2 linked regions of the Callithrix jacchus genome follow. Each later gene encodes a partner of the first gene's protein in a complex. Links are inferred from orthologs where the notes say so. Each region holds a gene or a part of one and is shown in the gene's direction. Other genes may lie near its edges.

Region 1 (5,684 bases):
TGGCTTGATTACTAATCTTAATCTAGTAATACATTGTAAGGAAGTAATCTAAGCCAGTATTATTTATAGTATCAAAAATTAGGAACAATTTAATATGGCCAGCAGTTGGAAGGATTAATGACAATAATATAAAATAATTAAAAAGGATAATTTTGTAGATTTGGAGCAATACAGAAAAATGCTGATAGGCCAGGCATGGTGGTTCATGCTTGTAATCCTAGCACTTTGGGAGGCTGAGGTGGGTGGATCACTTGAGGCCAGGAGTTCCAGAGCAGCCTGGCCAACATGGTGAAACTCCATCTCTACTAAAAATACAAAAATTAGCTGGGCGTGGTGGTGTACGCCTGTAATCTCAGCTACTGGGGAGGCTGAGACATAAGAATTGCTTGAACTCAGGAGATGAAGGTTGCAGTGAGCTGAGATTGTGCCACTTCACTCCAGCCAGGGCGACAGAGTAAGACTCTCTCAAAAAAAAAAGGGGGGGAAAAAAAAAGAAAAATGCTTATCACTGAAAAATGTACACTATGCAGATAAAGTTGTACACTATGCAGATAAAGTTGTTGTACCCTATGCAGAACAGGTGGAACTCTCATATATTGCTGGTGGGAGTGGTATAGTCACTTTGGGAAACAGTCTGGCAGTTCCGTATAAAGTTAAATCAGCAGTCCCACTGCTAGGTGTTTAACCATGTTAAATGAGAACCAGTGTTCATATAAAAAACTATACGCAAATGTCTACAGCAGCTTTATTCATAATTTCTAAAAACTAGAAACAACTCATATTTCTCAGAAGGGGAGTGAAACTAAGGTATAGTAGTACATCCATATAATGGGACACTACTCTGCAATAAAAAGAAATGGACTGTTAATATGCAAGACCATGAATGAATCTCAAATGCGTTATGCTAAATGAAAGAAGCCAGACTCAAAAGATTATGTACTGTCTGATTTTGTTTATATAACATTCTAGAAAAGGCAAAACTAGGAATGGAAAATAGGTTTGATTGGCTAGCATAAGAAAATTTGGTGGTAGAGCAGCAGTGTCTTGAGTTGGTTGTAACACATCTCTTGGCATTTGTCAAAACTCTTAGAATTGTACACCAAAAAAAAGAGTAAATGTTTTTAGTTTTTGTTTTTTGAGACAGGGTCTCATTCCATTGCCCAGGCTGGAGTGCAGTGGCGCAATCACGGCTTACTGCAGCCTTGACCTCCTGGGCTCAGGTGATTCTCCCACCTCAGCCTCACCTTTAGCTAGGACTACCACACCCTGCTAAGTTTTGTATTTTTTGTAGAGACAGGGTTTAACCACTTTGCCCAGGCTGGTCTCGAACACTTGGGCTCAAGCAATCTGCCCGCCTTGGCCTTCCAAAGTGTTGGGATTACAGGCATGAGCCACATCACCTGGATGTAAATTTTAAACAAAATTTTAAAATGCTTATAATATAGCCATAAGAGCCAACAAAAATTATATGCGAAAGAAATATGTTTATGTATATGTATATATGTATTTTTTGAGATGAAGTCTCTGTCTCCCAGGCTGGAGTGCAGCGGCACAATCTTGGTGCAGTGCAACCTCAGCCTCTGGGGTTCAGGCGATTCTCCTGCCTCAGCCTCCCAAGTAGCTGGGATTACAGGTGCCGGCCACTATGCCTGGCTAATTTTTGTATTTTTAGTAGAGACAGAGTTTCACCATGTTATCAGGCTGGTCTCGAACTCCTGACCTCAGATGATCCACCTGCCTTGGCCTCCCAAAGTGCTGGGATTACAGGCATGAGCTACTGTGCCTGGCGGAAATATTTTTAAAATTGTACACAATGTTTAAAATTATTTTTAAAAAAGCACTGGTAAGAAAGGCATTATCAAAATGACGACAGAGTTCATATTAAGTGGGATTATAGATGAGGGTTTTCCTTATTAATAGTTTTATTTGATGGATCATTTTCTTTCTTTTCTTTGCCCTCTTCTCTTTTTCCATTTACCAGGTCGCAGAACCCTAGCTGTAATCACTAAACTTGATCTCATGGATGCGGGTACCGATGCCATGGATGTATTGATGGGAAGGGTTATTCCAGTCAAGCTTGGAATAATTGGAGTAGTTAACAGGTTAGCAGTTAAAAATGGAATAAGAATTAGTAGTAGTCTCACTTCAGAGCAAGTCTGAATTTCTAAAATCTGTTTGAAATGTGATGCTGTCCTATATTTTTTTCTCCCTTTTACTATGATTTGGTATTGCTAAAAGAATCCATTGCCCTAAAGGGAGAAAAGAGATTCATTCACTAAAGCCTCTCATAGAAATTTTTTTTTTTTTGGAAACGGGGTTTCTCTCTGTTGCCTAGGCTGGAATGCAATGGTGTGATTGTGGCTCATTGTTGTAGCCTCGACCTCCTGGGCTCAAGCGATCCTCCCATTTCAGCCTTTCAGGTAGCTGGGACTACAGGTATTTACCACCATACCTGGCTAATTTTTAAATTTTTTTGTAGTGACAAGGTCTTGCTATGTTGCCCAGGTTTGTCTTGACTTCCTGGGCTCAAGCAGTCCTCCCCACTTGGTTTCCCAGCTGTTGGGATTACAGGGATTAGGCACTATCCCTGGCCCAGTAGACATTTTCAATAGAAAATGTTTCTAAAGTAAGCAGTACCATAAAATGGAAGAAGTGTCGTAATGGCCAGGCTTTAAGAGTTCTTGCCTATCATGTTAAGCTGTGTATGAGGACGCACTGGGTAAGGGAAAAATTACCTAATGTGCACCCATTCGAGAAAGAATTTAAGGTGGCAGGATTTTAATAGATTGGTTTAATCCCTAGCATTAGTGATTCTTTGTAATTGCCAGGATGTAACTTGGAGAAATTTTACTAAAGGTATCCTAATTATAAATAGCTGGTATTAAAAATTGTGAAAAGGAAACTATTATTGAGTGTCTAATTACGTTTTAGACACTCTACTGTGAGCAGTTTGCAAATGGTATCTCTTGGAATCCTCACAGCATCCCCTGAGGTAGGTGGGTAGGTGTTGATGTCTATTTTATAATCAGAAACCTCAGGTTACACATTTAACCCAAAGTCACATGGGTAGTTAAAGAGCTGGATCTGGATGAATATCTCTTTTAGTCCAAAGCCTTCATATGGTAGGAAACACAGAAATTATCGTGAAATCTGAGTTCTAGTCTTCCATAAACTAGATACAATGTAGGTTTAAATGACACCTAATGTCTTTGGGTCTTAAGTCTTTATAAAATGATTATGTTGGCTGGGCGCGGTGGTTCACGCCTGTAATCTCAGCACTTTGGGAGGCCAAGGCGGGTGGATCACACCTGAGGTCAGGAGTTCAAGACCAGCCTGGCCAACATGGTGAAACCCCATCTCTACTAAAAACAAAAAATTAGCTGGGCATGGTGGCATGTGCCTGTAGTCCCAGCTACTTGGGAAGCTGAGGCAAGAGAATCACTTGAACCCAGGAGGCAGAGGTTGCAGTGAGCTGATTGTTCCAACTGCACTCCAGCCTGGGTGACAGAGTGAGACCTGTCTTAAAAAAAAAAAAAGAAAATGGAAATGTTTTTACTACCTGATATATAAGATCCATTCCAGTGTCCGCTTCTGTTTTATTGTGCATCCCACCCCTACTCTGATTCCTTCATCCCCACTCACATTTCCCACTGTCTCCTTTTTCAGGTAAGCAAGTGGTGTTAACACTGTTCCTTGTTTGTTGATGACTGTTCTTCAAATTAACTTAATTTTTGGTAGAAATTAGTTCCCTGTCCATGGATAAAATATACAGGTCACTGAGATATTCTTTACATTTTTATACCTGTCTGTACGTGTTACTTATTGTTTTTGTCTATAGTTAATGGTAATAATGAGGCCTACACTATTTAGTCACTAGTTATAATTCAAATAGTTCAAGTTTTGACTATGCCAGTTAGCGTATGACCTTGGATAAGTTAGTCTCTGTGAGCCTCAGTTCCTTACTAAACAATGGGATAATAATACCTGTCACATAAAATTATGAGAATTAAATAAACCAGTCCATGTCAGGTATTAAAGAACAATGCCTGGCCCTGTCATCATCTAAGGTAGGAAGAGGACAACTGTGAAGTTGAACCATTTTGTTACTGTTTCAACCTCAGGAGCCAGCTAGATATTAACAACAAGAAGAGTGTAACTGATTCAATCCGTGATGAGTATGCTTTTCTTCAAAAGAAATATCCATCTCTGGCCAATAGAAATGGAACAAAATATCTTGCTAGGACTCTAAACAGGTAATTTTTTTTACCTTTTGGAAATGAGATTTGTTTGTTTGACCAGTCGATGTCTGAGAGGGTTCCTTTTCAGTTCCTTACATTTTGATACTGTTGTCTAACAGCTTCCCTTATGGTTTCTTATATAGTAGGTTCCTGAAGAATAGATGTCTCTATTTTTATTGGGGTGGTTGACATTATGTCATCATGTAGTTTAGAATGAATGTTCAAGTGATTTTGAAATGATTTAATTATGAAAATTTGAGAGTCAGTTGAGTTTTGAGGACAGAACTGGAGATGACTTCACTTCCACTTTGCATTGCAGGAACTGCATTAAAATTTATAATTTTCATGTTATCTGTTCTTAATTTAGAATATCTTCTATTTACCAGAAAAGGGAGATGGAAAAACAAAGAAAGAAATAGAGTATCTTTTTTTCCTACTTATTGTAGAAATAAATTAAGTTGTATACATTGGATTCTGAATACCCACTCATGGTGGGGGGACTAGAAGACCTTTCTAGATGATTTATAAATGACTGAAGTAGAAGCCATTTTCTCTTACTTTTATCTTCCCTGAAGACTGATAGACCTGGATCTTAATAAGATTAATTTTCACTTTGCTGGGTACCAATTGTAAATGACAAGTCAGTGAAACCAAAATTATATAGGAAGAATTGATTGAGTGATTTACTTTCTCTATGGTAATTGCAGTAATATGAAAATAATTTGCATTTTTTTCCTTGCTTTTATGATTTAGGATAAACCAAAGTGCTTTTTTCCCATTCATATACACTTAATCAGTATGGCACAGAATGCTTCTAACATCAGATACATGGGGAGTTTTCCCCATACAGCAAGCAAGGAATTCTCTAGGGGATTCTAATGGGATGTCCTTTAATTCAGTGCTAACACTTATTTACCTGGAGATAGCATCAGCTCCCACAGGTTGAGGGGTCAGTCCCACAAGACTGCCCCGAAGTTAGATGGCAGTTTTAAGCCAGGTTTTAGCCTGTTTTTGACTGATGGGCTGTAAGTCAGGGTACCCATGACCCCCTTTTCATGTTTGATTAATTTGTTGAGTAGCTTACATAAGTCAAGGAAACAACTACTTAACGTTTACCCACTTATTATAAAGCATATTACAAAAGATATAGATAAACAGCCAGATGAAGAGATGCACAGGGTTGGGCATGTAGGAAGAAATGTGGAGGTTTCTGTGCCCTCCACATTCCAGGAATCTTCATGTGTTCAACTCTCTGAAGACTGCATGAACTGTGTCGTTTTGAGTTTTTATGGAAGCATCATTGTCCATTGGTGATCGGCTCAATCTGTGGCCTCTCTCCCCTCTTCTGAGGCTGGAGAATGGGGCCAAAAGCCCCAGCCCTCTAATCATGCCTTAGCCTTTCTGGTGACTAGGCCCTCATCCTGAAGCTGTCAAGGGACCCCCAGC
Region 2 (6,430 bases), on another chromosome or scaffold:
AGCGAGAGCCAGGCTGGCTGGGCGGAAGAGAAGGCTTGCAGGGAGGCCCGTCCCGCGCCCGTCCCGGCTTACCTTGAAGTCGTTGCCGCTGAGGTCCACACCGCGCACGAACGGCAGCACCCCGGTGGCCTCCATGGCGCCGCACTCGCTGCCTGGCCGGGCCGGGCTAGGGGGACGCCCGGGCGAGGGGTGAGGGGAGCCGCGGGCTGGGCCAACGCCGGCCCCGCCCCTTTAACCCGCCCGCGCCCGCCACATTCCGCCGGGAAGTGTAGGCTTTAGGCCTCTTAGGGCCTCAGTTTCTCCGTCTTTTCGGGGGCTGCAGACCCATCAAGTTGCCCCGGCGCCCCCTGTGCTGGAGCTGGAGGCTTCCGCAATCTCCAGGCTTAAATTCCCAGAGTCCCAGGGCAGGGGCCTTCAAGGCCGCTGGTCCAGGCATGGTCCCCTGTGCTGCTGTAGCAGACGAAGCTGGCCCTGACCTCAAGTGCTTGCACTTGGCTGACCGGTGGTAGTGAGACACCTGGGTCCTCGGGTCCTAGTTCTCCTGCTCTGGATGTAGTTTCCTCATGCGTTGTTTTTATTTTGTTGACACAGGGTCTTGCCCTGCCGCCCAGGCTGGAGTGCAGTGGCGTGATCATAGCTCATTACAGCCTGGAACCCCTGGGCTCAGCCTCTCAACTAGCTGGGAGAACACCACCACACCTGGCTAAATTTATTTTTATTTTTGGTAGACATGGGGGTCTTACTATGTTGCCCAGGCTGGTCTTGAACGCCTGGCCTCAAGTGATCCTCCCGTCTCAGTCTCTCAGACTGCTGGGATGACAGGTGTGAGCCACTGTGCCCGGCCCAGTTTCCTCATTTGTAAAATGCTTCCTAAGTTTGTCGCCATAAGCAAATGAACAAAGAATGCAAGTGTAGCTCGCAGCATACAGCAGGCGCTCAGTGAGTGACAGGTTATTACTCCGTTTTGTTTTGTTTTATTCTGTGTGCCAGGTTATTATTCCCACTTTGTGTCAGCACCCTTACGCTCGTGTCCCCCAAAGGGAGGGTCTAGAAGAGAAGCATCCGTCTTGGTCCCTGCTGTTCGCAGGGGCTTACCCTGGCTGACACATAGCAGGCCCCTAAAACATGAGCCACAGCTGTTATATGACTAGCCACCATTCGCAGGGGAGGAGGGGGTCTGGTGTCCCCATTTTACAGGAGAAAAACTGAGGCCCATGTGGAGAACGGCCCACACAAGGTCGCACGGAACAGGTGGCAGGGGTAGGCGCTTTCACCACACTGTGTGCCCCGCAGGCCCACAGGTTAAGAATGAAGCCACCAAGACACACTCGCAGAGGTGATCTAAGAGGTTAGATGTGCCTCGGCCCCCGGAAGTAAAGGGGGCCCAGACAGCTTCCTTCACACTCGGCGCTCACATTACAACGCACAGGCGTCTAAGAAGGCTGCCTGTCACAATACCCGGTCGCGGGCTCCGAATGCAGCCCTGCACCTTTAAATCCAGACTGCGTCAGAGAGTCCCGCCCCGAGGGAGCGTGTCAGTTGGCTGGGGGGCGGGGCATACCCTTCATTGGCTGAGCCGCGCAGTATTTTGGAACACGTGTGCTGGATTTCGCGCTCCGATTGGAGGCAGGGTCTGCTTGTCTGCGTCCTGCGGCTTCCGCGGCCGCCCCCGGGTCCCTCAACGTTGGGTTCCAGGTTCCTTCTCGTTCCATTCCCAGAAAGGTCCGAGCTTAGGGGCCGTGGTCCTGCTGCCTCCTCCGGTCATTGTGCGGACGCTGCGACGCAGGTACGGCTGGAAGGCGGCGGGGCGGCCCCCAGAGTCAACGGGCCCGGGGCTTGGTGCGCTACGGAACGCAAATCGGGGGCGTGGCCCGCCGTCGCCGCTGGGTAAGGCCGGGAGGGTTTGGGAACCAAGGCCCGCGTTCGAATCCCAGCCCGGCCCCCTTCCCCTCTTGGTCTCTCGGTTTCCCTGCGAACAGGGCGTCACCCGCTCACCTAGGGCTGCTGCGCGGCCCGCTCAGCCCAGGCCCAGGGCAGGCAGATTTGACGGAGGAGGAGGAAGGCCAGAGGGCCTCCAGGGCACCGGTGCGCAAACTCGGGTTATTTTCAGCCACCGGTGCCCTCTCCCGCTTCTAGGACCTGGAAGGCTGTGGGCTGAGGCCTGTGCGACCCCGCAAGCGGTGGGTCTGAGTCCCAATTTAGACAGGTTGGGAATATTTAAAGCGCTTTACAGTTTGCAAAGTAGATTCCTGGTCTCTCTGGGGTCGGGTGGCAGTATTGATCCCCGTGTCACGAATGAGGAGGCTGAAACCGGCCCTGGGGCCGTAGCGGGTCACCCGTTTGGCCTGGGATCGCCCCAGAGAACGTCTTATTTTTAGTCTGGGGCGAATGGGCGGGTGTCCGGGGCTGAGTCACACAGCACTTCAGGCTTCAGCTACTGCAGGCATCTGGTCACCTGGCAACTGAGCCCCTGGCACCCACACTCTGGCAGGGCAGGTAGAAGTCCTTGGTGCCCGGGCAGGCTGTGACCTCATGGTCATCTGCTCAGGCCTCTCTGGGAGAGTTCTGCATGTCGTCTGATGTCCTAAGGTCACAGCGCCGCTCAGCTCCCAGGAACTGAGGGCAGTGTCCGGCTCGCAGAACGTGAGGCTGGGGGTTGGTGGACTGGGCCGCAGGAGATCTTTGCCTCCACCTCCCAAGTGCAGGGCCCCACCCAACCACACACTGCTGCCCATGCCATCTTACAGGTGAGCAAACAGGCTGGGACCCAGGCCCTCACCTTACCTTCTCTGTTGCTTGGCCTCCTAGCAGCTGAGAAGCATCACCCACCGCCACCAAGACTGAGAGGCCCAAAGAGCCCACTGTACAGAGGTCCTGGGCAGCCCTTTTTCTGGGTCTTGATCTTTTAGGTCACCTTGCTTGTTGCCCTGCCGGAGGGGCCTCGGCCCTTGACTTGCATGTCTTCATTGGCCTGCCTGGGCAGCTTGGGCCATCTCACTCTGCCTGTGCTCTGACTTGGTAGTTCTGCCTCTTGGGGCTACCCTGTCAAGATTTGGGGGGTAACTGGTCCCAGAGGTCCCCCAGACTGGTGGGGGCCCCAAATATTGTTGGTCTTCTCTGGACTTTGGGGTCTTCTCAAGAGGTTATCATAGAGAGCTGCTGTGTCCTCTGGTTAGGAACCTTAAGATGAGGCTGCTGCTAAGGACCTGGCCACCTGGCACAGAGGATCCGTCAGACTCTGGGGGCGGATGAGAGTCTGAAGGCCTTGTAGTTGTGGGCTGGAGACCTTATCACTCACTGTGCAATCTGGCAGCCTGGAGCTCTTTAAAATACAGGTGGTGGTGATAAGACCCACCTTGCGGGTTTCTGGTGATGTCAGCGGTCCTAGAGGATAGGCCCCTTCATTGGCACAAGCCTCAGGGCCTTTGTGAGCTTCTTTCCAGGGGGTGGGTTGTTTGCAGCTTTGAGAGAAAGGGCTTGGCAGCTCCCTCATCTCATGAGAGATGGGGACTTGGGGCCCCAAAATCCATATTCCTATCCCAGCCCTGCCCTTTCTCAGGTAATTTACATGGTTCCCAGGACCTTGGTGTCCTCCCCTGTGGATGGGTCCCTTTCTCATGAGAAATTCTCAGAAAGCCCCCCTTATGGGCTCCGCTCTGTTACCCAGCATAAGGACAGCCAGAGCACCTATCCACAGCAGCCCCTCTACCAGCCTGGCCACCTGCACCCTGAGCTGTCCCTTCACCCCTGGCTCTCTTACAGGCAGACCATGGCAGAGTTCTCCCAGAAACGGGGGAAGCGGCGTGGCGATGAGGGGCTGGGCAGCGTGGTGGACTTCCTCCTGGCCAATGCCCGTCTGGTGCTGGGCGTGGGCGGGGCTGCTGTGCTGGGCATTGCCACCCTGGCCGTGAAGCGGGTAAGGCCAGGCTGGTCAGGTCATGCCTGAAGCTCCTAGAGGAGGACAGGGTTGGGCCTTGCAGAGGGGCCCTGGGGAGGGGTGGGGACTGCCCAAGGCCTTCATGGGAGACCAGGTCACCTGCTTCTCCACCCCAGCACCCTGGTCTGCTTTTCCCCTGGGCTTTGCTGTAGCTGCCCAGACTTCATCTACTCTGTATGACTCTGCCTGCAGTTCATTGACAGGGCCACTAGCCCACGGGACGAGGATGACACCAAGGGAGACAGCTGGAAGGAACTGAGCCTGCTCAAGGCCACGCCACACCTGCAGCCCCGGCCTCCACCGGCTGCCCTCAGCCAGCCCATGTTGCCCTTGATCCCCTCGCCTTCTGCCCCAGGTGAGTGGCACTCCTTCCCCTCTCACGTTGGTGGATACCCTTTTGTTGTCACATTTGAGAGATGAAGCCCAGGCTCTCCCCTGACTGACCCTGTGCAAGTCCCTGCTTCTCTCTGGGTTGTGAGCTCCTCAGACATTTAATGGGGGTGGTTTTTCTTTGCCCTGCTCCTGTAGCAAGGTGGCAGCGTTGTGATGGTGGAGAGCTTTAGATGGGGAAACTGAGGCCCAGAGGGGCATGACCTGTCTACTTCCTCTGCATGAAGCTATTTTAGCCATAGGGCCAGGGTGTTGGACTCTGGGGCAATGAGAACTCGTCACCAAGCACTCACTATAGCGAGGACCTGGACTGAGTGCCTTCCCAGGTGAGGACAGTGAGGCCCGGGGATATCACACAGCTAGTCGTTGGGTAGTGTTTTCTTAATTAATCACAGGCTGTTCCAGCATGTTCCTCGCCCCTTCACTCTGCAGAGGAGCCTGCAGAAACTGATCTTCAGGTGACACTACAGCTCAGCTCCCCAACACCGCTGTGTCTGACACTGCAGGAGAGGCTGCTGGCCTTCGAGCGGGACCGTGTGACCATCCCAGCAGCCCAGGTGGCTTTGGCCAAACAGCTGGCTGGCAACATTGCCCTGGAGCTGCAGGCCTACTTTCGGAGCAAGTTTCCAGAACTGCCCTTTGGGGCACTTGTGCCTGGGGGGCCACTCTACGATGGGCTGCAGGCAGGGGCTGCTGACCATGTGCGTCTCCTGGTGCCACTGGTACTGGAGCCAGGCCTGTGGAGCCTGGTGCCGGGCGTGGACACTGTGGCGAGGGACCCTCGCTGCTGGGCCGTGCGCAGGACTCAGCTGGAGTTCTGCCCCAGAGGGAGCAGCCCCTGGGACCGCTTCCTGGTGGGGGGCTACCTCTCCTCCCGCATCCTGCTGGAGCTGCTGCACAAGGCGCTGGCTGCCTCCGTCAACTGGCCGGCCATCGGCAGCCTGCTTGGGTGCCTGATCCTACCCAACGTGGCCTCGGAGGAGCTGCTGCTAGAGGTGCAGCACGAGCGCCTGGAGCTCACTGTGGCCGTGCTTGTGGCAGTCCCTGGGACCAAGGCTGATGACCACCTCCTCCTGGCCTGGCCCCTGGAGGGGCTGGCGGGGAACCTCTGGCTCCAGGACCTGTATCCAGTGGAGGCTGCCAGGCTGCGAGCCCTGGATGACCGTGATGCTGGGATCCGCCGGCGGCTGCTGCTGCTTCTGTGTGCTGTCTGCCGTGGCTGCCCGGCCCTGGGGCAGCTGGGCCGGGGCCACCTGACCCAGGTGGTCCTGCGTCTGGCAGAGGACAACGTGGACTGGACGGAGGCGGCCTTGGGCGAGCGCTTCCTGCAGGCTCTGGAGCTGCTCATCGGCAGCCTGGAGCAGGCCAGTCTGCCCTGCCACTTCAACCCCAGCGTGAACCTCTTGAGCAGCTTGCGGGAGGAAGAGATTGACGACCTTGGCTATGCGCTGTACAGTGGCCTGCAGGAGCCCGAGGGGCTGCTCTAGGTGGGTGGGAACAGGTGACTGGCATGTTTTCTGATGCTGGGGAGCTGTGCCCACCTCCCTTGCAGGGATTTGAAGAGTTTTTTTTCTAGCTTTCAGCCAGAACAAAAGAGGGTAGCTTACTTAAACCCACGGCACTGGTATGTGCTTGGGCTATGGTAACTGTAAACCCTGAGCCCAGAGAGCTTGGGTCACTGTCACCTGAATGTGGCTGGGCTGCCTCAGGCAGCTTGGAGTGCCAGCCATTCATGAAAGCACCCTTTCAACCCTGGGGGCCAACCGCAGGACCTTGGCTCTGTCCATCACCAGCAACGAATCCACTGATAAAATGTGGATTCTGCCATCCTGGGTAGGGATGAAGGCCAGCTTTCCATTTCTGCTGAGAGAAGGTGACTTCACGCTTTCTCCGGCCCCAGCTCCAGGTGTTTTGAGGCGTCCAGTGCCCCTGGTGGTAGGTATGGTGTGTTCTGTTCCCCAGGGGCTGGAGTCACCTGGTGCCCCTAAAGGACAATTTTTTAGCTGTTAAAGGGTGGTGTTTTCCTGCTCTCTTCTGTGTGTTTAGTTTTCTTGCTGTGTTCTCGAGCCCTGGAGCAGTAGCTCAGTGTCACTTTCCACCCAC

What was found. Proteins that work in one complex are often made in the same cells at the same time.
Region 2: the proteins of DNM1L (region 1) and MIEF2 are in contact, whole or in part, in a cryo-EM structure (PDB 5WP9), measured with the Homo sapiens proteins. The link is inferred for Callithrix jacchus from reciprocal best matches to the Homo sapiens genes DNM1L and MIEF2. Residues at the interface, in NP_036192.2 of Homo sapiens: Asp190, Met191, Ala192, Thr193, Ser194, Leu197, Lys198, Ile199, Arg201, Glu202, Gly223, Thr224, Asp225, Asp228, Arg233, Val234; in NP_631901.2 of Homo sapiens: Val213, Asp214, Thr215, Val216, Arg218, Arg226, Leu230, Arg235, Val245, Gly246, Tyr248.

Annotation. Positions count from the first base shown.
Region 1 is NC_133510.1:38,771,656-38,777,339, reverse strand, and holds part of DNM1L (dynamin-1-like protein), read left to right. Parts: intron 1-1,981; coding exon 1,982-2,102; intron 2,103-4,121; coding exon 4,122-4,253; intron 4,254-5,684. UniProt on the Homo sapiens protein: Functions in mitochondrial and peroxisomal division.
Region 2 is NC_133506.1:82,690,846-82,697,275, forward strand, and holds the start of MIEF2 (mitochondrial dynamics protein MID49), read left to right. Parts: upstream 1-2,558; 5' UTR 2,559-2,733; coding exon 2,734-2,747; intron 2,748-3,762; coding exon 3,763-3,916; intron 3,917-4,129; coding exon 4,130-4,292; intron 4,293-4,759; coding exon 4,760-5,814; 3' UTR 5,815-6,430. Other genes in the region: FLII (protein flightless-1 homolog), read right to left, coding at 73-135. UniProt on the Homo sapiens protein: Mitochondrial outer membrane protein involved in the regulation of mitochondrial organization.